Caenorhabditis elegans: one gene and its partners. The protein of the gene in region 1 interacts with the protein of each later gene in a pairwise test. Each region holds a gene or a part of one and is shown in the gene's direction. Other genes may lie near its edges.

The links.
Region 2: the proteins of pah-1 (region 1) and F09G8.7 interact in a two-hybrid assay, tested with the Caenorhabditis elegans proteins (one large-scale study listed by BioGRID).
Region 3: the proteins of pah-1 (region 1) and rsy-1 interact in a two-hybrid assay, tested with the Caenorhabditis elegans proteins (one large-scale study listed by BioGRID).
Region 4: the proteins of pah-1 (region 1) and droe-8 interact in a two-hybrid assay, tested with the Caenorhabditis elegans proteins (one large-scale study listed by BioGRID).

The regions. Positions count from the first base shown.
Region 1 is NC_003280.10:8,760,375-8,767,634, reverse strand, and holds pah-1 (Phenylalanine-4-hydroxylase), read left to right. Parts: upstream 1-2,423; 5' UTR 2,424-2,563; coding exon 2,564-2,599; intron 2,600-2,694; coding exon 2,695-2,811; intron 2,812-3,219; coding exon 3,220-3,412; intron 3,413-3,464; coding exon 3,465-3,627; intron 3,628-3,739; coding exon 3,740-3,936; intron 3,937-3,986; coding exon 3,987-4,122; intron 4,123-4,297; coding exon 4,298-4,424; intron 4,425-4,468; coding exon 4,469-4,698; intron 4,699-4,743; coding exon 4,744-4,918; 3' UTR 4,919-5,013; downstream 5,014-7,260. Other genes in the region: nsph-1.1 (Nematode Specific Peptide family), read right to left, coding at 180-338, 406-435. UniProt on the Caenorhabditis elegans protein: Catalyzes the hydroxylation of L-phenylalanine to L-tyrosine. Catalyzes the hydroxylation of tryptophan to 5-hydroxy-L-tryptophan. Plays a role in the biosynthesis of a melanin-like cuticle pigment.
Region 2 is NC_003281.10:8,266,314-8,271,471, reverse strand, and holds F09G8.7 (uncharacterized protein), read left to right. Parts: upstream 1-3,116; 5' UTR 3,117-3,117; coding exon 3,118-3,219; intron 3,220-3,324; coding exon 3,325-3,525; 3' UTR 3,526-3,551; downstream 3,552-5,158. Other genes in the region: F09G8.10 (uncharacterized protein), read left to right, coding at 1-27; mps-4 (MinK-related peptide, potassium channel accessory subunit protein 4), read left to right, coding at 77-177, 226-344, 627-682; crn-7 (Cell-death-related nuclease 7), read right to left, coding at 939-1,112, 1,220-1,345, 1,391-1,500, 1,553-1,733, 2,229-2,646, 2,712-2,806; mrps-9 (Small ribosomal subunit protein uS9m), read right to left, coding at 3,741-3,832, 3,880-3,983, 4,035-4,148, 4,193-4,300, 4,461-4,718, 4,765-5,025, 5,073-5,156.
Region 3 is NC_003279.8:11,215,285-11,225,651, reverse strand, and holds rsy-1 (Arginine/serine-rich protein PNISR), read left to right. Parts: upstream 1-3,656; 5' UTR 3,657-3,676; coding exon 3,677-3,722; intron 3,723-3,863; coding exon 3,864-4,891; intron 4,892-6,400; coding exon 6,401-6,581; intron 6,582-7,510; coding exon 7,511-7,759; intron 7,760-9,013; coding exon 9,014-9,279; 3' UTR 9,280-9,475; downstream 9,476-10,367. Other genes in the region: Nuclear transcription factor Y subunit nfya-2, read right to left, coding at 375-448, 497-572, 624-705, 765-766; Y53H1A.2 (C2H2-type domain-containing protein), read right to left, coding at 1,679-1,750, 1,813-1,962, 2,679-3,011, 3,063-3,143, 3,245-3,253.
Region 4 is NC_003283.11:8,723,197-8,730,515, forward strand, and holds droe-8 (dietary restriction over expressed), read left to right. Parts: upstream 1-3,331; coding exon 3,332-3,399; exon of another isoform or gene 3,400-3,441; coding exon 3,442-3,782; intron 3,783-3,826; coding exon 3,827-3,988; intron 3,989-4,114; coding exon 4,115-4,201; intron 4,202-4,363; coding exon 4,364-4,531; intron 4,532-4,579; coding exon 4,580-4,627; intron 4,628-4,671; coding exon 4,672-4,791; intron 4,792-4,834; coding exon 4,835-4,912; intron 4,913-4,953; coding exon 4,954-5,019; intron 5,020-5,065; coding exon 5,066-5,164; intron 5,165-5,287; coding exon 5,288-5,402; intron 5,403-5,448; coding exon 5,449-5,572; 3' UTR 5,573-5,761; downstream 5,762-7,319. Other genes in the region: ZC196.9 (G-protein coupled receptors family 1 profile domain-containing protein), read right to left, coding at 326-472, 525-608, 660-812, 858-1,041, 1,090-1,219, 1,316-1,436, 1,550-1,693, 1,936-1,968; ZC196.5 (DUF713 domain-containing protein), read left to right, coding at 6,262-6,453, 6,500-6,616, 6,928-6,984.

The DNA.
Region 1 (7,260 bases):
AAAATTGGATTGATTGGCCAAGGAATCAAAACTTCGTGGTGGCTCTCCATATTTTTTTGTATTTTAATATTTTAATACCGCTTGTAAGTTACCTTTTATGCAGGCGAACTTGCATACTTGCAAGTTCAAATAATTGGAAGTCTATTTTTAATTTCTGAATAGTTATTTTTCCAGTTTACCTTCACCACTCCAGAATCGTTCCAAGCTCTGCCCATCACTGGTTTTCCGTGTTTATACCATAATGCGACGTACTTATTTGTCTCACCAGGAGCTTTTGCAACATTTGGTGGAAAAGGTGTGCCAACTTTTTGTAATGTCCAAATATCGTCTATGTTTCCCTGAATAAATCACTTGCAGAATGTTTGAATGCGTGCAATAGCCATCAAATAACTGAAAGCCACTCACCTTTTCCATTGTGAACCCTTTCCTATCCATTAAAAATTTAAAACTGATTTGATTTCACTGTTCCGACCATTTTTTTCTATCTGGTTCACGTAATAACGAGTTTTCTGCTGAACAAGTTTATTTAAATTTATTTAAAATATAGATAAAAATGGAAGGTCAGATTGGATATCTTCCACGCGACTCGGTGCATTCAAGATATAAGATGATAACGTAAACTGATGATTATCCCGGCAGTACCTCCTTCCTTTTCCTTTTTCGTACATTCCATCAGTTATATTATTGGTCTGTTGAGTCCAGCTATATAAGGATGAATATTGATGAAATTAGAAAGGTATGTTTGATCCATTTTTCTCAATATTATGATATAATTTTTGTACATCGAGCTCTTTATTTATACTAGTCCAACGTCAAACATTTGCATTTGTAATAAGAAACTGATGTTTGCCAAATTATCTGAAAAAAAAAATCAATTTGCTAATTTTGAATATTTTAAAAATACTTTTTTTCGGCCATACTTTAATTTTTCAAAAAGAGGGTAACAGCTGAAAATACATAAATACAAAGTCCTACCAGGCGGCCTATGCCAGCCTCTATTGCCAAAGTATACGTGATATCCGTGGAAGTTACAATCTAAACAAAAATTTGGTCAAAACTACGGAAATTATTAAAAAAAATTATAGAATTTGTTATCATACTATTAGAAAATTGTTAAATAATTTCAATTAATTAAAAACTGTTTGAACCAAAATATTTTGCTATCTTCAAAAGTGTTATCATCCTTATATTTTCCCCTGTTTTCATCGAAACCGTCGCTGATCAGTTGATCTCGTACACGAGTATTTTCAAAATTTCTCCATTTTTTATGATCAACCATCGACTAAATTAATTGTTTCAATGCTGTATTACTGTTCCTATTTACCTCATTGACATAGACATCTCAGATCATGGTCTGCAGAAGATTCGCGTTGCAAACGAAAATTTTCACGAAAAGTTGATAAAAGCCAGTCGGACATCATCAACTATTGATCGTTTCTGCCGTTTTCAAACTGATTTATGACATCGTCTTGTCTCATCCATTCATATAAATTTCTTTCTTCTAAATTTATCATCCTAAAATGTCAGACATTCAACCAAACGTCCTCCTATATATTTCCATCTAAATATTCCACGTCTTCATCTCATCTCATTTTCCTTCCTTTTCACAATACAAAGGATGCGTCAACCAGTTTTCATTATTGTGTTCTGTTGATTTTTCTCAGCGTCCCCCTCCTACTTTCGATTCGATACACCATGATTTTATGGCTTTTACCGTAACCCATTTGATCGTTTCAAAGAAAACTTGGTTTTTTCTTCAATCAAAACCATTGAAATGTCTGTTTAAGGTCAAAAACTAAAATTCGAGAAATTTGAGGAAGTTGAAAAAAAGTTTTGAACGAGGCTCGTCACAAGGCAGTCGTAAGACTCCAAATTCGGTAAATTTACTCAACAAAAAAAACCTGTTTCAGTTTCCCCTTTTTCAGCATCGTGAAAAAATGAAACATTCCACTATCCATATTTAAGCTTCATCAATTAATTGAAATTGAAAAATGACTGTATGTAAGCACATACGCCTGAAAAGGCCTACAATCCAATTCATACCCAACGTCTTAAATTTCAACTCAACTAGAAACAGAGATTTACATCTATTTTACGAAGAAGATCCACTGGGGCATGCTTTCTTTTGGAAGTTCAAACTGTATTTCATTGATCATAATCATATCTTTTATTGTTCAGGCGTCCATTTGTCTGTGATCTATTTCATATCATTTTCCACGTGCTTTCAAGTTCATCATCTGACTGTTCTTCTTCTTCTTCGTATTTTTTTCAATTTCTTCCAACCGTTCTTCTATCTCACACTACACTCTAATGAAAACCCACGTGTAGGTTGTGTATGGGTAGCCGCGAGTCTCCTCCCACGTGGATTTTTCTCTGCAGAATGGTATTGGGGGCCACACGAATTATCTAGTTCATAGGCCACGCCTTGTATCTCTAGGCTTCTGAGTCTCCAGCTATTTCGTCTCGTATAAACGGCAACGTACGGCTCACGTTTTGTCTCTGTTTAATTCTTATTTCCCGGTGACTGTCTATTCCTCTGAAAACCAAATCTTGTTCTCTGAAAATGCCACCAGCTGGACAAGATGATCTTGACTTCTTGGTGAGACCTTCCTTGTTTGAACTGATCAAGAAAAACTTCTGTTTGAGAATTTTGTGTAAAATTATTTCCAATTACTAAAGTCCAACTTATTTCAGAAGTACGCCATGGAATCGTACGTTGCTGACGTCAACGCCGACATTGGCAAGACTACTATCGTATTCACTCTTCGTGAAAAGGCAGGAGCTCTCGCTGAAACATTGAAGCTGTTCCAGGTTAGTCATGAAAAAAACCAGACTAGAAATGTCAGAGGATCATGAGACTTCAGAGGATGACTATTGCGTCAGCGACACTTTTTTTTTTAAATCTTATGATTCTCACGTCTACTCTTGATCAGGCGGTTTAATATTTTATGCATCATAAAGCGTTGAATAATATGATCTTCAATTATGTTTAGACGGTTGAGTAGACATAGAAAAAACATTTATATCAAATTAAAATTTGAAAATTTGCACCAAACTGTTTCTAAATATGATAAGAGATAAACTACGTAGTTGCATTTTTTAATCCGGTTCGCGATTTTTGATTATCAAAGATGTCGAAAATCGTGTCACGAGAAAAAGAGATCATATCAATTGTCTCAAATTCCTACCAATTACATGCTTCATTACACATTCTTGCAGGCACATGATGTGAATCTGTCTCACATTGAATCAAGACCATCAAAGACTCATGAAGGATGCTATGAGGTGCTCGTTGAATTTGCTGAAGCTGAAGACCATCGTAAGATTGAAGGAGTTATTGAGCATTTCCAACAAAAAGCTGAAAAGAAGGTTCTTGTTCAAGACTGGAACACCAAAAACAAACAAAACAAGGGTACGCTATAACAATAATGAAACTCACAGTATTAAATTCAAGAGCTTTGTAGATTCTGTTCCATGGTTCCCACAGAAGATCAACGACATCGATCAATTTGCCAACAGAATTCTTTCTTATGGAGCTGAGCTTGATGCCGATCACCCTGGATTTAAGGACATGACCTACCGCGAGCGCAGAAAGTTTTTCGCCGATATTGCATTCAACTTCAAACAGTAAGTCATTTCATCAACAAAAGTAGCAATATGTGCCAATAAATATGTAACATTGAAGGCGTACTGAATAAAATCCAAAAAATCCGAATTGCAACCTGATCGTACTTTCCAGCGGAGACAAGATCCCTACTATCACCTACACTGATGAAGAAATTGCCACGTGGCGTACAGTCTACAACGAGCTGACAGTTATGTACCCGAAAAACGCTTGCCAAGAGTTCAACTACATATTCCCACTCCTCCAGCAGAATTGTGGTTTTGGACCTGACCGCATTCCACAATTGCAGGATGTTTCAGATTTTTTGAAGGGTAAACAAATCATTATCATCTGATTGTTTTTGTATTTGTTTCGTGTTCAGATTGTACCGGGTACACGATTCGACCAGTCGCTGGTCTTCTTTCTTCTCGTGATTTCTTGGCTGGTTTGGCCTTCCGTGTTTTTCATTCCACACAATACATTCGCCATCATTCCGCTCCAAAATACACACCTGAACCGTGAGTTTGAACATGATAATTTTAACCGAGGGTGGGATTTCGTAAACGACTTTTGCTTTGAAAAAATTGTGAAAACTCTATAGTGCAACATAAAAGGAAAATAAAATCTAATCGGTTGATTATCATCTGGATATATTCTGAATTTTTGACAATAAGCTGGAGATGTAACTTTCAGAGATATCTGCCACGAGCTTCTGGGACATGTTCCACTATTTGCTGATGTTGAATTTGCACAATTCTCACAGGAAATCGGTCTTGCTTCTCTTGGAGCTCCAGATGATGTTATTGAAAAACTTGCCACAGTATGTTTGAACATTGAAACCCCCTTTTTATTTTGAAATATTAGCTCTACTGGTTCACAATCGAATTTGGAATCTGTCAACAAGATGGGGAGAAAAAAGCTTACGGAGCCGGACTTTTGAGTTCATTTGGAGAGCTTCAATATGCGTTGAGTGATAAGCCGGAAGTTGTAGATTTTGATCCAGCTGTATGTTGTGTCACCAAATATCCAATCACAGAATATCAGCCAAAGTATTTCTTAGCTGAATCATTTGCAAGTGCTAAGAACAAACTTAAGTAGGATCAAATAGTCAGTTTCAACTGTAATCTAGATAATTTCAGATCATGGGCAGCTACCATCAATCGTCCATTCCAAATTCGTTATAATGCTTACACTCAACGAGTTGAAATTCTCGACAAGGTAGCAGCACTTCAACGTCTCGCAAGAGACATCAGAAGTGATATTTCTACTTTGGAAGAAGCTCTTGGAAAAGTGAACAATCTCAAGATGAAGTGACTTTTTGATTAAATTGTTAATTTGCAAGAATAAATGTACATTGTTCTCAATGTTTGTTGAATTACAAAGAAACCTGAACAACAATTACAAATTTGTCCATGCTGCTCGATTTACAGACGATTTTTAAACTACCTACGATGGAGTTACAACTATGATGACTGTTCTAAAAAACATATCATATTCCCTTAACTCCTTGAAAACAGGGAAATGTGAAAACTAATTAATTAAAAATAGTGTTCACCGTCGTTGGAAGCAATGCACTGAAATGAAAATAAACAATTCGAAGCCTTGTTCACTTCCAATTGTTTTGTTTTTTTTCTCTCGCCAGGATTAACGCGTATTTTTCCAACATTTTTCCGGCATCTGAAACGATTTCCTTTTCAGCAATTACTTTATTTGAAGCATCACATGAAAAAAGTGCGAAAAATTGGTGTGAGCACCAAAATGTTTCCCAAATTAAAGCCAGTTATCCATTTTTGTTGCAAAAACCACGTCATCTACGACAGCGAGTGTTTTGGTGTGAGTGATCTAACTGCGAAAAACGAAAACTGTGCATATAAATTGTCATGCATTTTTGATTATTGTTTAGTTTTTGTGTGTGTGTGTGTGTTGTACGGAAGTCTCGTTGTGTGTCCAAAATGAAGTGCTTTTGACTTCATCTGCAAAAAGAAGTAAAAACTGGCACTGAGTTCTCAAAACTAGGTTATGCAAATGTAGAGGTCTAGTGAAACATTTGTATGTGCACTTTGTTATCATTTTAAAGGTGCGGCTCCACGTACATTTAATCAATTCTTTTTCTTCTTATGTTGTCTTCCTTTCTTATCATGATTATTACAAGCATGCGTTTTCAACTCCTTTTCAATTCATTTTTTTTGGAAATTAAATTGAATTTGTGTTTAATCAAAACATCAATTTTCCCAATTTTAGTATCTAGTTGGCACTTGTGTATTATTTCCCTTATTTTTAAAAAATAAGTTTTAATATTTTAACCATAACCAGGAAATAACCGTAAAGAGGGAAAATGAACATCATGTTTTATTAAAATGGATAAATATATGGAATTTAAAAATGAGGGGAAATAATACACAAGTACCATCTATTTTACTTTAAAGATTGGCCAAATAATACATTCGGGTGTATTTTTTGTTTAATTTTTTGCAAATCTTCAAAGAGTAATCCTTTTGTTTAACCAATTGTTTCACTATTAAAATATGATTTTGATAGAATAAAATAATTGGAAACATATAGTACTGCCAGCTGTGTGAACATGCACACTGTTTGCATTCTCAATCGAATATTTTCCCTCTTTCCCTCGACCCACGATTTTATTATTTTTCATATTTGGAATGGAAGACGGTCAGCTTTTTATAGTTTTTTTTGTCTATCAAATAAACTTTTTTCAGAATCAGATGAAAAACATTTTTAAAAAAACTCAAAATTATATCTAAAACACGAACATTTTAAATTATGTTAATTCTTTAGAATTTTCCCAATTATACTTTAATTGACAAAAAATCAACTGGAAAATTTTTTCAACAAAAAAACATTTCTTTTCCTGTTTTACAGTGATTCACATAAGCATATTGAAAACTTGTGCATTTGTTTCTTTTGTCCACAACTTTTTTCCGAATCAAAACGAAATTTTCTTCGAGACATAAAAAACTGATATTTCAAAATTAATTTTTTTGTAAAAAGGCAGTTTCCCTCGAAAAACTTGAATGCTTCGTATTGGTTTCAAATGTATTAAAAAAATCAGCGAAATATTGATCAACTTTTATTGCAATATATTCATAATGTACACTTCCACCTCCTCCCTTTCTCGTCTCTCCATGCAAAACTTTTGCTGCTGGTGTTTGAAACGGTTTGTCAAAATTTTTAGATATAAATAACATTTTTCTTTTTGAAAATATTAATGCCACGTAGCATCTATAGATTTTGTCTTCTAACATCTGAGAAACCCCCTTCATTTTTCAAAAAAATTGATTGGAAAGCTTTTGGAAAACAACTTTTCCTGTCATTTGGCATTTAAAACTTAAATTCGGAACAAAAATAACCTGATGAATAACAATCAGAAAAGTGAAAAATAAAAAGAAAAAGTTTTAGATGGTAATCTGTAAATTACAATCATAGAATCCTCGAAATTTTTTTTAAATAAACCCATTATTACAGACATTTTTTTAAAATTTTTTCTGTGATTTTATCTTGAAAAACGGTTACCTTGTAAACTGATATTTCTTTTTCCATTTTTGAAAATATTTCCTCTTCTACAAATTTTTATTTCCAATTTCTGCATTTTATTTTTTAAAGTTTCTATTATTATATTAACACCGTAAAATGCCCTA
Region 2 (5,158 bases), on another chromosome or scaffold:
ATTGTCACGTTATGTGCACAATTTTGAAATTAATATTTTATAAAATTTACTTTTTGATATTCTTTTCTGAAAAACCATGACTTTTCCAAAAGAAAATATCAACAACTACGCCAGTTCTTCGTTCAATTATAAATACCTAATTGAAGAATTTCTTCAATGGAGCTCCTCATGTAATCGGTAATTTTTCTTTTTCTTATTTGTTAAGATTTAAAAAACAAATTTCAGCATCTCCTATCCTACCAAATACTTTGATTTTCTACTCGTCATCATCATGACTTTTGTGTTCCTTTGTCTAGTATATTTACTTATTTGGATTGAAGTTTTGTTGAATTCTTCTCGGCCTGGTAAGCTTTATATATTTGATTTTATATATAGAGTGTTGGTCTGGGCTTTGGAAAACATATCAGCCTCATTTTTTAGGAATTATGACGTCGCTGTTTTCTTATTTTCTATATTACGTTACCGCGAAAGTTGGCGACGCTCTACCGAACTCCGTGTTAATTTACGGGCCTGAGACGTCCTACTGCCAAAAAATGAGGTTACCACATGTTTCAGACGCTAAATAACTATGGAATACTCTGACTACACATGATTACTTGGTATTTATAAAAAATACTAATTTTCAGATCCAAAGCATCGTGTCTATTACCCGAGAACAAATTTTTGGCAGAGAACAGACTAGAAGATTTTGATAATTATTTTAAGTTATTTTTTAATTTTTTTTCTGACTATGAAGTTTTTAGAAATTAAAATTTGTTAGTTTTGTTGTCAAACAGAAGTGTTATAATTCACCCGCAATTAATTTATGTTAAAGCAACAAAAAGAGGTTCAATTTTCAGAGGAGTACATTCTGAAATATAGATAACTGAGTACTTTGAAGAAGCTTGGCCTTAATAGTTTGGAATTTTTCGCCCAACTTTTTTTGGCCATTTTTCTTTTCAAATCTTTGATACCAGGCCGGCTGCGGAAAGGAGAGTGGCAATTGTTTGGAACATGGAAAAATGAGAAGAAGATTTACACGGTTCAACTTGAATAACAAAAGAATGATATAATTGCCAAAGATTTCTATTTTGAATGCACAATGCTCCACCGCCACGTTTCAGTTGTGATTTCTGAAAACAAAAAGTGTGCTATTTCACTTTATGAATACTCTTCAAGTTTATGATTGAATGTTTTTCGTGGCGAGTCTGTGATCCTTAAAAAACGATATGTGACCAACCTGCCTATTCATATCTCCAAAACAAACAATCGGATTGGTCTGAGAATTTGAAACCGCCCATTTCGAATGATCCTTCGAGCTCGCGAAGTTCAGCCCGGTTACACGCATTTCTGTGACGTCATGAGTCTGAAATTCTGATTTATTTCACGTCTGAAATTATCAATTTCATACCTGACTAGTACTCGTACAAGTTGTATGAATATCGTCTCCACTGCCATTCAACCAACTCTCCACTGCTAGTGTTACTTTATTTTGGCGGGATATCAAATCATTCCAAATATCTGTTTAAGCTCATAGCCCTATTACAGTTTTAAATATAATTTTCCAATTTACCTCCATCAAACTTTTTATGTTTGGCGTAGGCCATCAATGTAACTCCTTGTACGGTTTTAATCGGCTTTGAGATCCAAAATTGAGTGGCTGAACGTGGCAGACTTTGTTTAGCTTCAACATTTTTCAATGTAGGGAATCGAGTTGCATATTTTTCCGGTATATTTATTATGTAGGGAGTCGCCTGAAAGTATGCTACAGTTACTAAAATTCAAATTTCCGCTTAAAATGTTATCAATGAAGCGATTACTCGCCAAAAATTTAATTTATATTAAGCGACTCGATTATTTATTTTTTGATTTTTTTTTCAGAATTTACCCATCTGGCTCAATCCGGTCAAATCCGTTAAGTTTCACTCTTTTTGATACTCGTAAAACTATTTCTGTGCTTGTAATCTTAAGCCACGCCGACTACCATAAGCTTCTATTATCAATGGAGCGCGTTTACTTGAACGGTTTTTCTTGTTCTTTTTCTTTGTTTATCTTTTGAATTTTATATAATTATATCAGTCGATTTTATTTTCTTATTAGTGTTTGAAAAGCTAGGAAACTTTATAAACAATCAGTTGAAAAATTTGTTGTTAACTTTTTCATGCGTCTTTTAGATTTATAAGCCAGGCAGTCAAAATTCGTTCAAAAGTAGCTTTAAAAAACTTTATAACAGGTTTTTCTAAACATACCTGAATATATTTCCAATGCTCTGCGAGCTCTGTTAGATGTTGAACTTCCATTGATGCGCAGAAAAATGATTGTCCATATTTCTCAGCCGTGTTCGGATAGGAAAAGCTTTTGATGGGTGGAAAATTCGGTACACTATGAATTAACCAAAATCCAGTAGTTGAATCAAAAAGTGATACTCCTTTCGCATGTCCTCTATATGAATCAGCTGACTTTATAGGATCATCATCACTGTACATGAACCAAAAATTGTTTGATTTATCAGCAGAATACACTTGGGAAACTGTTGCTCCCACAGCAACATTTGGATCATTTATGTCATTTCCACGTGTCCAATCTGATGATTCGGCATCGAAATAAACAAATTCTTTTCCAGATGTTCCAGCGCCGGAAAGTTTTGGAAGTTTATAAACGACAAACCTGAAGTTTTTTGGTTTCAGATTAATTTTTCTGAAGGCATGAAGCCTAAGAGTAAGAATACTCACCAGTCCACAGATTTTCCACGCATATTCTTGCACTGAATTTTGCCATTTCCAGTTGTAAAAATCACAGAAAATATAAGAACAAAATATAATCGCATCTCTCACCACCTACTGAATTGTTTCATTCATTCCCATCATCATCGACCCACTTTCTGAAAAAAACGATATTTTTTCTTCGTTTCTTTCTCTCAGTTTTTTTCTGTTTGACGATCTCTGTCTCTTCTCGTCCAAAACAGCCGTGATGTATGTATTGACCGAAATTTTTCAAGTGTAAAGTGGTGGCCGTGGCCTAATGTATTTTTGACCAGAAATGCTCACGAGTCATGTTTGCTCCATATTTATTTTGCACTGTTTTATTCTTCCTCATCTGCTCTTGATTAATTATACAAAAATGACGTTTTTTTCCAGAATGAGCAAATCAAACAAAAAGTCCAAGCCAAAGTACACATTGGAAAACCTTCAGCAGATTCCCGGAGTCCTCGCTTTCATGATTTGCAAAGGAAATACAATTGTAAGATTTTATAAAATAATTTCTAGAAAAAATACTTGTTGCTCAATTCTAAATATAAATTTACACATTTTTTTGGTAAGAAATTTTAATTAAAAAATTTTCCAGGCCCACAGCACTTTCCTCGAAGCGGAGAACCCTCGTCAAATTGCCTACAATGCAATGCGAATGGCAACTCGAACTCAAGGAACTGAACTCCGTGATCTAAAAGTGCACACGATCCAAGTTCAATACGACGACTTCCAAATTGAAATGTTCCAAATCGGCGGACACTTTTGCATCCTCAAGAAACGTGTAGATACTGATTAAAAACTTACTCACTTTACCTCCCCCCCCCCCCCCCCCAGTGCATTCCTTCCCTGAAAAGTAACCAAACCCATTTTTGAATTGATGTCTCGTTATGTATGCTTTTCTATTTTATAAATTTCATTTTTCAAAAGTCTAAAAAAACAATAAAAACAAGAATTCTAGTTGAAAACTTCCTACCAATTAACAAAAACAAAATTAAAGTGGGTATTCATAAATTAACGACGTTTCCAGATCCATTTAGCACGAGCACCCGGTTGATTCACCTTGCTTCTTTCGTTTTTCCGTGGGTCCAGTGTTAGAAGTCCAGCTGTAATTTAGGAATTTATAAGTTTTTTACAAAATAAATGTCCTTACATAATCTTAGTGGTTCGATAGCTTCTGGTTGCAAAGCGGCAACACAAAGTGCAGTTCCATGGCGAACAGCACGCGGTAGAGCACTCATTCCTCCACTTCGCATTCTGCAGAAAGTGATTATACTGTTGCAGAGTAACAAATTTTAATAGTCTCACAATGGCGCCTTGTTTGGTGCTTCTGGAAGAGTATTAGAAATACATGAAGTTGTCGCTGTTACATCAAATCGACCGAGAGACTGACTGACAATCATTGGTGCAAGAAGAATCTCTCTGAAATTATGTTATCAGAAAAATTCGATGTTCGCAAAATATACCTGGCTTGAAGATGCCTGAAATCGTGCAATTGGAGACCATCAATATCGAATTTTCCTTTTCCTGCGTCTGTGACCTTAACTGTAGCACGAGTATCTTTACATCGTGTTCTGAAAAAAAAACTGTTCAATTATTCAGTTTACAATTAGAGAAAATTTGTTTAATTAAAAATTACAAGTATTTTTAATGGCAAAACTAATTTTAAGGTTATCAAATCATTAGATTTTTGGCAAAAATTCTCTGCTGTCTTTTAAAAGAAGGACAACTCACGTCACTTCTGCATATCTTCTGTTGGTCACTGCACAAACATGCACTTCAGGAATCGCAGGACCGAACAATTTGGATCCAGTTGAAGCGGTCATTGGCTCTCTGAATTCCATCAAAAACTTTTGTTCAATAGCTGATCCTGGTAATGAAGCAAGATGCTCAAATGCAATGATGACTTGTCCGTACAATTCTTTTGAAAATTTTTCCGAGAGCTTTTTCTTCAATTTGTCAGCTGTAACCCATTGAGAACCGCTCAGATTTCTGAAAATTAATAAATGTTTCAGTAGAAAAAATGGTTACTAATTACGCTGGTTCCAAATCACTTCGATTTACCGATCGACTTCCAACATGTTCATCATAAAACTTCATAACAGAATGCGTTTTGACTCCAATATCCGACAAAAGCCCGTAAATTTTTGGACTTAATGTGAAAAATCGGGATCCTTCTGGTTTTCCTTCTTCGTCAAATGTGAATCTTTGGAATTTTGGAAGAATTTCATCTGGTGGTCTCATAACTGGACGAGCATTTGGGTCGGTTAATCCAGAAGGAAATAAATATAGGATTGCTCTGAAAATGCCAATTATGATAAATATGACAAAACACTGTTACAAAACCTGTCAATTGCCTCTTGATCGAGTTCATGAATGTCAAGACTCATCATTTTGGCAAGATGTCGACGTCCTGTCTCGAACTCTGCTCT
Region 3 (10,367 bases), on another chromosome or scaffold:
TTCGGTGAGAAAAATGCCAAAAAATTAGAAAATAATTGGTTGAGGCTGAAAAAGTTGTAGTTTGTAGTCTGTGAGCCTCAACCAAAACATTTTAGGCTGGAAAAACCGATTTTTTAACAAATTTCTGCTAAAAAATAATGAAAAACGCAAATTATTGCGTTTTTAACAACAAAAAAACGTAAAATTTCAATCTGGGTGAGGCCAAGCAATTTTGTAGTTTGTAGTCTTTGACCCTCAACCAAAATATTTTCGAGCTTCAAAGCGAGTTTTCGGTCGAAAAATTCAAATTTTTTTGGAAAATCTCGGTCAAATGAGCCGTTTCAAGGCCTTAAACGTCGTCCAAATGTCCTAAAAACAGCTGTAAACTACAGTACTTTGCAGTCCGGCGGAAGTTGAACAGTTGTCGGCTGAGTTGTTCGGATAGCTTCTCGAATTTGACCGAAATTTTCTAAAAAAAAATTTTTTTTTAGAAAATTATTTTTTTCCGGGCACGTACGATTTGGTGGTGGCGGTGGAGCCGATGATGTGCTCGCCGTATTGTACATGTGATATTGGGACAGTGAGGTGAATGTCTGAAAATTGTGTAGTTTGTAGTTTGTAGTCTCTTCGTTTCAAAATCCTACTGTTTGAGGTCTTGCTGGTGCTGCTGGACGTCTGTTTAACACAATTTGAGTCGGCATTTTCGACGGATTTCCACGTGGATTCCTGAAAAAAAAAAACAAAAAATTTTGTAGTTTGTAGTCTGTGAGCCTCAACAAACTTACATTTTGTTTCTTACACGATTTTTACGGGCAGACTCAAGCTGTGATGGAAATGCTGAAAAAAAATTATTAAAATTTTGTAGTTTGTAGTGTGCGTGCCTCGGCTACAAACTACAAAATGTCATAGCCTCAACCAAATTTTTTGGGACTTTTGAGGGAAAAATCAGTTTTTGGAGGTTTTTTTTTTTTAATTTTAATGCGAATTTCATGTATTTCACAGCAGAAAATAGGCAATTTTTGATTTTTCGACTGGAAAATCGCTAGTTTTCGGACTTTTTAATGGAAAAATACGTAATTTCCATTTTTTTAAAGTGATCTTTTTTATAATTTCCGCTAAAAAACTGATATTAACATTTTTTGGTTGAAAATTACAGACTTTGTTATTTTTATCCGAAAAATCTGAAAATATTCATGATTTCTGATTAAAAACGGGATTTTTTTTGGTTTTTCGTGAAATTTTTCACATTTTTTAATTTTCAAATGAATTTTTGTTTTTTTTTTTGTTAAAATTTTCACAAAAAACTCTGAAAAAAGATTTTAGCTTCAAAATTCAACAAAAAAACTTGGTTGAGGCGGTGTCAGTTTGTAGTTTATAGCCTCTCAGCCTCAACCAATATTTTGGTTGCGGCTCACACACTACAAACTACACATTTTGGGTGAAAAAAAAATGAAGGTATTCGCATAAAAATGGGCAATTTTTGAGGAAAAAACTGAGAAAATCGTTGAAAAATCAATATAAATTGCAATTAAAATGAATTTTGTCAATCAAAAACTGAATAAAAATTTAAATATGCACCGAGAAAATCAATGAAATGAGCGTATGAATAAGGCCACTGGGAAATCGAGTTAGTGTCAGAAATAGTACACAGTAAAAAAATGTAATTTACAATATAACAATCAAAAAAAATTTTAAAAATTCATGAATCCGGGTCCAAAATCTCTGTTTTCACATTAATCTTCGGCGGAAACTCGTCACAATTCGGAGTTTTCTGCAACAAAAAAAAATTAATTTTTTGTCAAATTTTCAGTGAAAATTCGATTTTTTTGCTACCTTCCAGTGTCTCCGGAGACTATCTGGGCTCTGATAGCAATATCCACATTTTTGACATTTATAGGCGTCCGGATTGCGGTGTACAACGATATGATGCTTGAGACGTCGTTCCGATGTGTACTTTTTCGGGCATTCCGGGCAATTGTGCTTCTGAAAATTCGAAATTGTTGGGCGAAATCCATGAAATTGTAGTTTTTAGTCATTTTTATAAGAAAAATCGGGAGAAAATCGGTTTTTTCGGCCGAAAATAGTTTTGGGTGAGGCTCAGGGACTACAAACTACAATTTTCTTAGCCTCAACCAGTTTTGCGTTAGTTTTTGGTGTTTTAGGATTGAAAAAGTGAGTTATAAGCTTAATACATTGCAGTTTTTAGTCATTTTCATATAAAAAAATTGCAGAAAAATCAGTTTTTTGGTCGAAAATGTTTTGGGTGAGGCTAACAGACTACAAACTACAATTTTTCTAGCCTCAACCAATTTTTTTCGTAAAAATTGAAGGTTATTATCGTAAAAAGTTAATAAATATCATGAAATAGCCGTTTTTACTCATTTTTATACAAAAAATTGGGGAAAACCGTTTTTTTTTTGGTCGAAAATGTTTTGGGTGAGGCTAACAGACTACAAACTACAATTTTTTTAGCCTCAACGAATTTTTTAATACGATTTTCAACTGAAAATTAGGTTTTTTAATAGTATAAATTAATTTTTAAGCGAAAATTGAATAAAATCCTATTTAAAATGATTGCGGTTTGTAGTTTGTAGTCTGTGAGCCTCAACCAAACGAATTTTCGTCCTATTGGCTGAAATTTGATGATTTTTCATGTTTTCAGGGCAAAAATTGTTAGAATCGGGGTTTTTTATCAGTACCATTTCACTTTGGCCATCCTCATCATCTTCGTGATCCTCTATTTCTTCCGGATGCTCAGATTTTGGAGAAATTACTCGATTTTCCACGATTTCTTGTGAAAATTCTGGATTTCTAGGATGAAAATGTGATAAATTCGAATAATGAGCTTGTTGCACAGATTGCGGGGGCGAATATTGATTTTTCGGTGAACAATTTTGAGGCACATTTTGCGAATTATTGTCGTAGACCAGCTCATATTCGTCGGTTTTCTGCTCCGCAAACATATTTCTCATTGTAGTGAGCACTTTTGGTCCATCTTCGTCTGATGTGTAGTTTGAGGAACAGGAAATATCCTGAAAAATTGGAAAAAAAAAGTGATTTTGCAGAAATTTTCGGGGAAAAACCTCTATTCCACTTTGTAAATTGAAGTCATCGCCGAAAAGCATGTAGTTTGGACAGGAAAAATCCTGTTTTCTTTCTGTCATCTGAAAAAAAAGCAAATTTAAATTTAAATTATTCAAAAAACAACTATTATCGTTGAAAATTGCTGCTAAAAATTAAATTAAATTAAATTAAATTAACCTACCGTAGCCATTAAAGGCGCATGCTGTGTTCCCTCGAATGGGTTTCTACACGAAATTGGAAAACGTCGGATTTCGGCAGGAATTCTGGAATTTAAAATCACTTTTCTCCAAAAATTAAATATATCGATTCATTTTCTTCACATTACAAACAAAAAAACACGTTCAAGTATCTGAAAATCACACAGAAAGCCGCCGTCAATAAAATTCGGTGGCCGCGTGGCCGTGGACTAGGTTTCGTGTAAAGGAACGGCCATCGACATTTTTTCGATTTAATTCTATTTTAGAATATTTTCAGCGCATTTTTAAAGCTTTTAAATAGAAAATCTAGCTGAAAATTTCGAATTTTTGTTAAAAAATGCTAGTTTCCACCTTTTTCCTCCCAAAAAAAACCAATAAGATCGATATTTCCTGCAGAAAATCACAAAACGAGGGAAATGGAAGATTGGACCAACTATCATCAGGCACAGCCGGCGGAAAGTGGTATGGCGTTGTGATTTTATTGAAAAATTGAATTTAAAATCGAAAAATTTGGCAAAAAAACACGAAAAAATCGATTTTTTTCGAGATTTTCGCGAAATTTTTTTAAATTTATTTAAAAATTAATTTTCGTCTATTTTCCAGTCGACTGGGCCCAGCTGGCCCAACAATGGATGGCGATGCGCGACACAGACGATCGTCGAGCCGGAAATTCACACGATTTCGCTCAAAATCATCAGCTCCCGTGGCATCAGCCACGTCATCCGGGCCCTCCGGCTCATCAGGATTGGGGCGATTGGTCCGCGAATCGGGACGAGCAGTGGAGAGGGCCGCCTGGGCCTTCTGGGCCGTCCGGGCCCCCCGTATATCATAATCAAGGCCCGCCTCGTGGATATCCACCACCACCGCCACAGGGAGCAGACACGTGGCGTGGAGCTCCTCCACCAGCTCACCACGGACACTTTGGACCGCCTGGACATCATTTCCAAGGCCCACCACAACATTTTCCGCCAGGGCCACCAAGGCCGCACTTTCCAGGCCCCCCAGGCCCACATAGACCTCCAGAGCACTACCCAGGGCCTCCAAGACCTCAGGCTCCAGCGGCACCACCACCGAAAAGCCTATTCCCGTCGGCCCAAAAGCCTAAGCCACTTTTTGCGGCGGCTTCAAGTGCTCCAAGCTTCTTCGGAGCACCTCAACGTCCACCACCGCAGCTGCACTTTTTCCAGGAGAGCCCCTCGGTCCAGCACGATTTTCAGCAGCCCGATTTCCAGCCCGATTTCCAGCCCGAAAACTACCAAAATTCCCCGGAACCCCCGGCCCAAGCTGGCCCGAAAGGTGTGCCTCCACCGGCTCCACTAATGGCTTCAGGGCCCACAAACCCGTATGCAATGAACAAAGAGGCCCGGAAAAAACTGCCGGCCTGGATCCTGGAAGGCCTTGAAAAGGCCGAACGGGAGAAGCAAAAGCAGTGGGAAAAAGAGGAAAAGCTGAAGAAAGCGGAAGAAGAAAAAGCCCGGCGAAGAGCCGAAGCTGGAAAGAGCAAATTTGACTCTTCGTCGGATGAAGAGAGCCCGGAAAATGAGAAATTTCCTGTTGGTAATGGAAAATCTGAATATCAGGAAGATGATAATGATTCGGAAGACGATTTGGAGGAGAGACGAGAGCAATTTGTACGGGAAATTCTAAATTCCTGAAATTTCCGCAAAAAAAAACCTAAAAACTACAAAAAATTTGAGAAAAAACGAAGATATTCTAAATTTTTAGAGGAAATTTTTCAAAATTTGAGAAAAAAAACCAATTTTTTGAAAAAAAAAATCCAGCTTTGTAGTTTATAGTCTCTCAGCCTCAACCAATATTTTTGGTTGAGGCTCACACACTACAAACTACAAAAAATTTTGAGAAAAAACCAAAAATTTGTCGAAGATTTTCTGAATTTTTAGAGAAAATTGCTAAAAAAATCGAGAAAAAACCGACGAAATTTGATCAATTTTTGTTGGTTCAGGCTCATGCTCAGACACTACAAACTACAATTTTCGGGTAGCCTCACCAAAATTATATTTTGAACAAAAAAATCAATTTTACAATGAAATTTTTGTATTTCGAGGAAAAATCGTTTCTTTTTTTACTTTTATTTCAAAAAAATGTTGAAAATTTGAAAATTTTAGCCGGCTAGACTACAAACTACAGAAATTTTTTTTTTTAAATTGTATTTTCCCAAGATTTTCTGAATTTTCCAGTGTAACTCCTAAATCCTAAAAATAATTCCTATAAAACACCGAGTTTTTGATAAAATTTCAAAAAATCTATTGGTTGAGGCTATGACAATTTGTAGTTTGTAGCCTCTCAGCCTCAACCAATATTTTGGTTGAGACTCACACACTACAAACTACAATTTTCGGGTAGCCTCACCAAAATTAAATTTTGAAAAAAAAATAAATTTTTCAATACAACTTTTGAATTTCGGCAAAAAAATCGTTTTTTTTTTCATTTTTAATTCAAAAAAGTTTAAAATTTTAGACATTTTAGTAGACATTGGCGTTTTTGATGCCAGCTAGACTACAAACTACATGAATTTAAAAAAAAAAAACAATTTTCCCTAGGTTTTCTCAATTTTTCAGCGTAAACCATAAAAATTCCAATAAAAAACCCAGTTTTTGATAAAATTTACAAAAAAAACATTGTTGAGGCTATATGACAATTTGTAGTTTGTAGTCTCAACCAATTCAAAAATTGGTCGAGGCTCAGACTACAAACTACAATTTTTAAGACAGCCTCACAGAAATTTAAATTTTCAAAAATTCAATTTTTTCAAGATTTTTTAAAAAATTTTCTAAAAAGTTTTGAAATTCGGGTAAAAAAAATTTTTTTGTTTCAAAAATTTTATAATTTTGATGCCCGCTAGACTACAAACTACAAAAATTTCGAAAACAAACCTTAAAATCTTCCCAAGATTTTCAGAATTTTTCAGTCAAAACCTTTAAAAATGCAATAAAAACCGAATTTTTGATAAAATTTCAAAAAATCTATTGGTTGAGGCTCGCGTTTTTGGAGGCTGTTAGACTACAAACTACAGAACTTTTGAAAAAAAAAAATTGAATTAAAAATTAAAAAAGGTCCATTAAGTGGAGAAAAACCTCTTAAAAATTTCAAAAAAAAAATTTTCGAAATTTTTTTTCCAGATACGCTGTGTGAAAACTCTAATGATGAACGTGCTCCTCGAGTCTTCGAATGACGTCATCATGCGTATAATACAAGAAGAGCTCCGTGAGCACGAAAAACTTCAATTTGAACGGAAAAAATTGGCAACTGCGCCGAAAATCATCGGCAACAGCTCAGCGTTGGCGGCTCTCGCGGCTTTTGGTATGGAGAAGCTCGCGAAAATTCGAAATTCGGAAAAAACAATTTTTTTGACCAGAAAATTCGGTTTTAAAAGTTTTTTCCAAGTTTTTAATTTAAAAAAAACCGAAAACTTTAACATTTTTGAAATTTTCTTCCAAAAAGCTATGAAAATCGTATAATTTTTCATAAAAAATTCATAAATTGTTCCAATTTTTCGACGAAATTTTTTTAAACAAAAAAAATTCGATTTTATCGAGTTTTTTGAGCTAAAATTTCAAAAAGTTTTTTAAAAATTGATTTAAAAAATTCGAAAAACGAAAATTTTCAACATTGTCTTCAAAAGTTTCACATTTTTTAAAAACTTTTTTCTAAAATTTTCGAATTTTCCATATTTTTTTTAAATTTAAAACAGTTACAATTTTGAAACAAATCGAATTTTCTGGTTGAAAAATTTGAGATTTTCCGAAAAAAAAAGTAAAATTTTTGATTTTTAAATCGAATTTTTCAAAAAAAAATAGCGAAAATTTAGATTTCCAGAAAATTTTAATTTTATATAAAAATTGTGTTCAAAAAGTTCCTGAAAAGCTCTTCTTTTTCCTAAAAATTCAAATTTTTCAGAAAAAGTTTTCAAAAAAACATTTTTTTTTTTTGGAAAAAATCGGTTTTCAGAAGCTTTTTTAATTAAATATTCGTTATAAAAAACGATTTTCGAACAATGTACCAAAAAAGAATTTTTAGTTTAAAAATTTCAATTTTTTCGATTAAAAATTCCATAAAATGTGAATTTTCAATTTCTCGAAAATTGTAAAACTAAAATTCAAATAAAAAAAGCCTTTTTTTGCAAAAAAAAAGTTGAGTTTTCAGTTAAAAAAAAAAACGTTTTTTAGAGCTAAAATGTCATATTTTTTGAAATTTTATTTCAAAAAATTCAAATTTTTCAAATTTTCCAGGAGACGGTGAGGATAGTGACAACAGCAGTGACGATGGAGTTGGCGACGACATGGAGCCACGGCAGGAGAGCAGTGGCTCGGCGGAGCTAAATGGAGCATCAGGGGCAGCAGAAGCAGGAACACCAGAAGCTGGTGGTGGAGAGTTCAAGGCTCCCGTGGGTATCCCTCGAAAGTTTAGTGTTAAGACAGATGATGTCAAACCATCAGTTAATGATGATGGTGAAGGTGTTGATGATTTACACGTTCCAGGTAAGGTAAACTAATGAAAAATATAAAAATATATTCACTTTTTGTTGAAAAAAATACCATTTTTGCTAATTTTTTCCCCGATTTTAGCGTCAAAAATGTGTTTTTCTGTAGTTTGTAGTCTATTAAAGCGCGAATTTTCAGCCAAAAAACTTCAAAAACCTACTGGAAATCCACTTTTTTGAATTAAAAATTCAAAAATTTCAGGAAAATCTGCAAAAAAAAAATGTTTTTTCAATATTTGTGTGAGGCTATGTTATTTTGTAGTTTGTAGTCTCAGCCTCAACCAATTTTTGAAATAATTGAGGCGCGCTGGAGACTACAAACTACAAGTTTTCTTCACAATTTTCACTTTTTTCCGCCAAATTTGAACTGAAATTTTTTGGGATTTTGGGACATTTGGGATTTTGGATTTTTGGGACAGAATGGTTTTGTAGTTTGTAGTCTCGGAGCGCCAATTTTCAGCCAAAAAAAATAATATTTTATTCCAAAAAACCCACTGGAATTCCACTTTTTTTGGATTAAAAATTCAGAAATTTTCGGAAAATCTGAAAAATTTTGAAAATTCAGTTAAAACCGCTTCTAGAACTCGAAAAATCTATTTTTTAAATCCAAAAAAAAATCTGAACATTCCTGAACATTTGGTGAGGCTTTGCTCATTTTGTAGTTTGTAGTCTGTGAGCCTCAACCAATTTTTGAAATAGTTGAGGCCGGAGACTACAAACTACAAGTTTTCTTCACTTTAGCAGAGATTTTTCGGGAAAATCTCACTTTTTATCTAAAAAATTTCAAAAATTCTTTTCTTTTTTCAATAAAATCTCTGAAAATCCAAATAAAAATCCAAAAAATTTTTTTTTTCTAATTTTGTAGTTTGTAGTCTGTGAGCCTCAACCAATTTTTGAATTGGTTGAGGCTACAAACTACACATATTTCCCAGCCTCAACCTAGATTTCTTCATATTTTACTCATTTTTTAAAGAATACAAATGAAAAGTGTGAATTTTTGAAATTTTCACTCGCAAACGTGTAGTTTGTAGTCAAAATATTGGGATTTTACTATTTTGGGTTAGGCTAAGCTGATTTTGTAGTTTGTAGTCTTCGGCTAAATATTTAGAAATTTCCTTTCAAAAAGTCTGTAGTTTGTAGTTTGAACCTTGATTGAGGCTGATGTGATTTTGTAGTTTGTAGTCATTCTCTAGACTACATAGAACTACACAATCTACACACAAAATTCCGGAAATAATATTCAAATTTTCAGATTCAAAAAACGGCGATAATAAAAAATCGGAAAAATCGTCGTCGGAAAAGAAGAGAGAACGAGAGATGAGAGACGATGAGAAGGAGAGAAAATCGAGTAAAAAGAGCAAAAAACGATCGAAAAGTCGTGAAAAAGAGCAATCTTCATCACGACATAATCACCGATCGAGAAGCCGATCTTCGGAACGGGATCGCCGTCGAAAACGGTCGAGAAGTTCGGAACGTCGGAGGGATCGGGGGGACAGGGATCGGCATAGTCGACGTTGATTTTTATTGATTTTAACGATAAATTATTGATTTTTCCGATTTTTACCGCCGATTTTTTCCACCAATTTCTTGCTCCAAATTCTCATTGTTCAAAGCCGCCCGTTTTTCTGGAAAACTCCCAAAAAATTATTTTTTTGTATTACCTATGATGACATTTTCCCATTGATTTTTTTTTGCTTAATGTATTTTGAAGTTTTGTTTTTTCGTTTTTGGTTTCAGCATATTTCAGAATCGCACAATAAATTCTAATTTCGCGCCTGAATTTTTGGAAAAATAACTAAAATTTGAATTTCCCGCTAAAATATTAAAAATAATTTGAAGTTCGCGCCAAATTTTTTGTTTTGAAAATTCGAATTTCCCGCTGAAATATTTAAAATTTTTGGAAAAATTACTAAAATTTGAATTCGCGCCTAAATTTTTGAAAAAAATACACATAATTTAAATTTCGCACCAATTTTTTTTTTCGAAAATTCAAATTTTTCGCAAAAATCATGGAATTTAACATTTTAATTATTCCGCCAAAATGTTTAATTTCCCTCAAAATTTGAATTCCGCGCTGAAATTTTTGAAAAATTCTATTTAAAATTAGCGCCAAGATTTTGTAAAATTTAAATTTCTCGCTAATAAATTTAAAACACATTGAAAAATTGAAGTTTGAATTTTCCTCAACAGATTGACTAGAATTATCAGTTTTGAACGCCTCTCACGAGACAAAAATCAATGGCCGAGTTTTCCCGAATTTTCTAGGCCATGCAGCAAAGGTCGGTCATGAATTCCTTACACTCAGAATATTATAGAAAAAATACGATCGCACAAAAATAAACAACGACGCAACGACACTCCGCTGTTTTTAAGCCCCGCCCACGATTTCATTTGCACTGAAATGTGGCGGTCGCAGTGCAAATGAAATCGTGGGCGGGGCTTAAAAACAGCGGAGTGTCGTTGCGTCGTTGTTTATTTTTGTGCGATCGTATTTTTTCTGTAATAGAATTATTAACCTTCGATCTATTTATTTCATTTAGCCATAAAAACTATGTGTTATAGTTCTTCTAACTGATATGAATTTGTGCAGAGTATTGGCATGTTTT
Region 4 (7,319 bases), on another chromosome or scaffold:
TTGGATGAATAACTAAATCTTTCACTTTAACTAATTCACAGCCACAGAAAGTTAATTATATTTTGAAGCCTTTTTGAAAAAGCTAAACCGTCGCTATTTCTGAAAACTTTCGAAGAAGACTCGTCTGATAACAATACTCTTTTAAAGTCGCATTTTTAATGTTTGAGTTTTGATATTCTGTACGTAAGTACATAAAGTTTATACACAGAAAAATTGAGTTTTATAAACAGAAAAAGTCAGATTTAATCAAGGAAAACATTTAAAAAAACGCGACTTTCATCAGAATATTTCCGAGGGGAAGTTCGTCAATATTATGTTGTTTGTTTCACTCCAAAGTTCTCGCAGCTCTAACTTGTATGTTCGACGGTCCTTGTGAGCTGACAGCTGAAACTCTAGTGGAAACAAGTTTCCGTATTTCTTTCGATGTGAAAAAGAAAAATGAAGGTGTGGCTGCACCGGCAAGTATTTCCATCTGAAAATATTCAGTTTAAAAATGGCATACAATAAAAATAAGTTTTGCTGACCGTATTTACAAAACGCTTGACTAAAAAAGCTCCAACATTTGTAATTTGAACAGATTGAGCAAATAAAAACACACAAGACGATGCCTGAATTTTTTAAATGAAAATACCAATTTGATTTGAACCAATTAAGCGTACTTGAAAAATTAAAAATACAAAAATAGCTTGCTTTAATATCAGAGTTTCGTTTTTGCTCAGTGTGCTGCCTTTCATATATATTATTTTGACAGTTATGGCAATATATATGATAAGTATAGACAAAGGAAGGAAAATTTGAAGCATAGTTTCCATCTGAAATTATCATTCTTATAAACGTTACTTTTTTTTGATAATCACAAGTTGAACTTCGGTAGGGGTTGTCATTGTGATAACGACATTTGCATAATTGGTTGTTTCACAAATCAATTGGTATTTTCTAGCAAGTTCACCAAAGCGATATTGACAATTTGAAAACATTAATGCATATTCCACACCAAAAGCAAATATGTAGATACTTGAAATCCAAATATATATAACTTTTCTATAATTTGAGAAACTTAAAGTTAAAATTAGTTTTTTTTCAACTAACGACTCGAAGAACCTATCCGTCAAATTCCGGAGAAAAAATACAAAAGCACGTTGGACGGCAATTACCAAATTTGAAAAAAGAATAGAGTAATGACAAAAATCGATTATATAAGACACAAAATAAAACATTCCTATAAAAAACAAAAATTGTATTGTTTATCTCACTTTGTTCATAAATTTAGGCTGGCCCACAAGATCGAACTGCAAAGTGGGCAAATAATACTTACGTGATTGTGTTACTTCTTTCGAAAATAAAGATAGTGCAGCTGGAATGTTGATGAACAAATTTGCAGCAGAAATTACAAAAGCTGATGTTGTTAATTGAGTTAGAAACCAGAAGAATCTCATCTAAATGTTAAAAAAAAAGTTGTTTGAATTGTATTTCCAACGAGTCAATTTTCAGATTTTTTCAGCGTTAGTATATTCATGTTTGTTGAACTGAGCTTGTCAACATCACCTACCGATTTGAAATGTCTCCACAAAAGTATTGATAAAACTAAAAAAGACATTGTCAATATAGTTGCACCAATTGTAGACACAACAAAAAGTGATACCACTGAATAGTAAAGCCAATTTTTTTCAGAGTCGGAAATATCCAAGAGGAGCTGAAATTTTAATTTTGATGCCACTAATTTTGAGATCCAGTATATTGAAAGGAATGTGGAATAGTACTCGTAGAGACTTTTTTTTGAAGTAATTGACAATGAACTGTGATGATAAATTCAGCCAAAGACGTCAAATTACAAAAAAACCATGACAAGAATTGCCAATTATTCTTAGTTTTAAATATTTTTTCAATACTTCATGCAATTTTGTTTCAAAAATTTAATTTTAAAAGATATCTCACCTCTCGCATAGGCCCTTCAAGTCTTTTTTCCATATTGAAAATGCACTTTTATTGAATTTTTCAAATTACGTCCAAGAGGAAACTTGAAGGAAATTATATATTTTTGGAAATTCAAGAATTTTCCTGTGACGCCGTGGTTAAAAAGGAGAGACAGCTGAAAATACAAGAAATGTTAAAAGTTGATGTTGTTAACTTTAGATACGCATGGCCATAGGGTGTGGTTTTCTGAATTTTGAGCATGTAATATGGCACATTTTAATATTCGAACAACGCGTGTTTATTGCTCACACCTATAAAAATTTCATATTCAGATTGGTTTCTCGGAGCCGGCCACAAATGTGCATGTTAACAAAAGACTAAAAAGCTCAGTTACAAAGAAATGTTCAAGTACCACATTTTCGTGTGACAGAAACACCATATGTAATGCTGAAAAAAAATCATTATGAACTTGATGCTTACTCTGATGATGGGAGAGATGTTACTTGGAGTTGCTGAGAAGGCATCTGCACCACTGACTGTGAACTATATAAAATCTGATTTTACTTCTATCAGTAAGATACCAAATTGTTTGTATTACACTGATCTAATTCATGGCAAAAGCACGTCCAGCGTTAATTTCGAAACGCTTTAGTGAAAAACTTGAAAAGATATCAATTTAGTTTTCATGTTTTCTCCAACCAATACTTTTTTAGCCTTTTTTCAAAATAAGAACGCCAACAGAAAATTATGCCGTGCGAGAAAGTCGCTTCACCTTGTTCATCGGTTTTCATGTTTTTTCTTTGAAGTATTTCATAAATTGTTTGTTCCTCATTTATTCCTCATCCCAAAAAATTGCCAGTGTTTTGCCAGTTTTCCGCCGCGGTCATATGATTTTGCAATCATTTTCCTCTCTCACAACTAACTATTAGCAATGGAACAGCAGTGGAACAACCCTTCGCAACACGTTGCTAGTTTTATCTCGCCTTTTTTAAATATTTATCTAGTGTTATCCTTACAAAAATTGATTTAAAATTGACGTTGCATATATTCTTAGTGCTTCTATATTGGAACCCCACACTTAAAAAATACAATGATTTTTTTTTACAATTTTTTCGTTTAACTTATCAAGTTTGAATAGACCTGAAAAATAAGTCTAGCGATTTCCTTGATTCATTTTTAATTATTTTTTTTTAAATTGAGGTCATACATAATAAACAATTACCTTGCTTCTGATTATTTGAACAGTGCGTCAATGTTTACCACAATATATTACGCCATCGGTACAAAACAAAAACAAGTAGTTTTCTTCCTCATCCCAAATTTCATTCCTTTCTTTTTTAGTCGGCGACGTATAGTTTCTCACATACATAATATTTTCAACTTTTCACAAATTAAAGTGTATTATAGTTACAGAATCATGAGTACGCCGAAGAGATGTCATCCATTTCTATCAAAAAACTCTGGAGAAATGCTGAAAATCAGACAGTAAGAATACGCATATTTGTTTCAATAGTTGAGTTATTTCAGAGGAACTCACGAAATTCGTAGCGAGCCTGTCCAATTTTCAAACCAGCCTCCTGTCAACCCACCCGTGAACACTCAAGTTGGCTTCTTCAGAAATACCGACGGAATTCCAAAGCATAAAAATCGACCGGTTATGCCCAATAGCTCGTTTCCTACGAGATGCGTAACCTATGTGGATGTACTTAATCTGAAACCTCAAGTTCAATTAAAGAAAATGGAATTCAAGAAAGAGAGTTTACCACCAATGAATAACCCATCAAAACCACGAGAAGATCCTGTGGTGCCAGAAATATTGAAAAAAACCAGCTCCGGGATCAAATCGGTTCAGCATGTTTCTCAAAAAGGTTAGTTTCGAGTGTTTTTATATTTTCGAATTCGTTTTTTTTAGATAAACTTCATTCTGAAACAAATGAAGGTGTTCAGCCAGACATTGCCCCCCTTGACGATGTTCACAGGCCAGTTGTAGAACTCACCCAGTATCTAGGCTCAAATAGTACTGAGAAGCCAGATGTTACAATTGCTAAGAATTTGGAGCCCTCTAAAATAACAAGTATGTTTTTTTTAATAAAAAACAATTGTCAAATAGACAATGGTATGAAACATTCTTCAAAATGGACAAAGTACCAACAGAAACAAAAAAGGTTTCATTGAATACAAAATGGATTTTAACTTTCAGAGATTGTAAACGAAGAAACCAAGCCTGATGATCAAATCCAACAAATTTCGCATTTGGACGTTACAGCAAAAGAAGATGTTGATTCAAGTAAGTCAGAATAAAAATTCTACATATCATAGTAAAACTTTTCAAAAACTTTCGAAATGTGATTTACAAAAACTTTTTATTGGAAAAACTCAAATTTTCGACTAGCTTTATCATGATATTCTGTTACCTCAGACTGATTAAAATATAACTCAATTTTTTCAGGTATTGAACTTGAAAATGAAGATAATTGTCAAATAGACGATGACATAAAAAATACTTCGGAAGTGCGCAAAGAAATAACAAAATTTGAAGAAACAGTGGCTGTTCCTGATGAAAATGAGCAATCGTTTGTGAATTCCAGTAATTTCGTCGACCCGAATTGTGAAAAAGGTTCGACAATTTCATTAATTTCTTGAAACAATTTTATTTAATCTTCAGAAACTTCAAATGAAGATCAAAACCAACAAAATGATGTTGTGGCCGAGGGTATGTTTCCTATATTATACAATATCACTCATAACAAAATTTAGAAACGATGGAAAAACCTGGTAATTTGACAAGATCGTTTTTGACCGAAAATAACAGGCTTCTTATTGAAGAAGCTTGTTTAGATGGCATTGAGCATTCTAACATTGTTGCAGAAATAAGAGGTAAAAAACAATTGCAAGGGTTTCTTTCTAAAAAGTATTTCAGAAGACGAAAAAACAGATGAAGTGGCTTGGGAAGATTTAAATGCAAAAGAAAAAACAGACGACGAAAATCAAACAAATGGTAAATTATAATTCTGATATTAATACGGAAATACTTTTTAGATAATCTGCCCGAAAAACAACTAACAAATTCTGCGGAAGTTCCTCCATTGTGTCCAGATGATGCTGGTATGTCGAGTAATTATTGACAAATCTTTATTTTTGTTAGTTTCAGATCCACCAGCTGAGCTTTCCAGCCTTTCAGAAATCATAATCCAAGCGAACTATCTTCCAAATGATGGTTCTAGTAACGGAGAAAAGTCTGAAGACCGAGGTAAATAAAATATCTGGTTGGTATCTTTAAGTTTGGAATTGGTGATTTGGTTCTAAAATACTGGGAAGATCTTTTCTTTATCAAGAACTGTGGCATTTTCATAAAAAATTTTCTAATGTTAAGATGCAAATGAAATCATGGATTTGTCTCAAAATCCTCCGACAGATCAATCTGTAAAAGAAAGCTCTGCACCGCCTCTTGAAAACCCATCTAATTTTCAGCCGGAAACTTCAAACAAGTTTGCACTATTCATTAAACATCTACAGAACTAACAGTATTTTCAGATATGCCGATCTGACTTTGGATGACCTTGAATTTGACTCACTGAACTCGAATGACATGACCAACGAGCTTGAAGCCTTGAAAGAAGAGACCCCAGAATTCAATAATCAAGAAACAATTGCTTGAAGTTAAACAGATGCATTGATTTATTATTTAATTTTTCTTTATATTTTTTGTAAATAATTAAAGGCTAAGTGATTATATCAAATGGAGTTATGTCATTTTACAGCTTCAATATAAAACAGTTAAAACGTTGTCTGCTTTCCAGTTGTTTTTTATTACCTATTAACAGAAAACGAAAAAAATAATAATAAAACCCGAAAAACCGAAGTATTAAATCATATATGAATAGAGCAAAATTTAAATATTAATATAGTTAGAATTCACTCTTTTTTGAATCTTTTATCGGAGTTAAACAGTCTATGTCTTTGAGTCTTTGAGTGAGATTTGAAACTCTTGTTCTTTAGTCACTATGAGTTTCTCAACACAGAGGAACAGGAACCCTTGCTCTACTTTTAACCATAATTTGAACAATGTATGAAGATAGTGTGATCAATTTGTTTCCGTTTTATAAAATATATTTATATCAGAAAACTATCACAAAAAGTTAGGAACAAAACGAATCTGACATTTCGTTTTAAAGTTAGCAGTAAATTGCAAATAGTAGAGAGGAAAAGAGAGAAATAGACACAACAAACAAAGTCAAAATGACGCAGAAACTTCTTGCTAGTCGTAGTTTCTCACATGAAATAGATTCCAATCAGTTTTTTCTTGTTTATGTGATTTATATAAAAAATATTTGATTCTCATTCAAAATGCCAATCCCTCCTAAAATCAAAAAAGGAAAGAAGAAACGATCGCAAGAAGTGAAGAACGACAGGAAAAAAGAATTTTCGAAATTGGACCAGCCGGCAAATTATAAAGCTATTCGAAAAATTAGCCCAGTGCCAAAAAAGGAAACAAATATTTATTCACCAACGGCAAAATCAACAGCTCCCATTCATAGAGTAAGTTTTTTTGTAATTGGAAAGTCAGAAAATAATCAGAGTTTAGGAATTCAAAAAACAGCAAAACTATGGAGTTGGGAAAGCTGTACCAGTTTCATTCAACGATCCTAAAAAATTGGAAAACAACAACTACATTCATATTCCCACAACTCGACGTCCTAACGTGAGTTTTTTATTTGGAAAAATCAGTAATTTTAATTTTAATTTGGATTAATTTTGTATTCGAATTAAAATTATTATTTGTGACAAGTTCTGTATATTTTGAATTTTAAGAGGTAACAACAAAATCTGATGTTGTTACCAGCATGATAACTTTATAAAACATTAAAAAAAGTTCATTCGCCATGAAAAAAAGTTTCTTATTGATCTGAGCATTTGAAGAAAAATTATTGTTATTAATTTTTTGCAATATCTCTTTGTTTCCAGATTTCTGCAGCCAGATTCATCTATAAAATGAAATAATTTATTTTTCAGCCTTCCATCAATCAGCGAAATGTAGGAAGTACATTCAGGACAACTCCACAGCCTTCTGTATGTTTATTTTTGTTGAAGCTTCTTTTTCAGTTTTATTTTTCTCAATTGTAAAATGAACTTGGGTTTTAAATGGCCATCATAAACTAACACTTTGTAAAATTCAAACATTTAGTGGAATTTTCATTTGAAATTTTTTAACTCTCATCGCCCATAGTCTTTTGACAAAAACATTCGTTTTTCAATAAATGTAGTTTATTTGTACTGGAATGATGTGACTTAATGCTATACATGAAAATAAAATCTCATTGGTCAAACTGAAACTACGCTTAAAAAGCTCCAGAAATCTCTTGATATATTGAAATTTTGATCATTTCTCAAATTTTGCTGGTTGA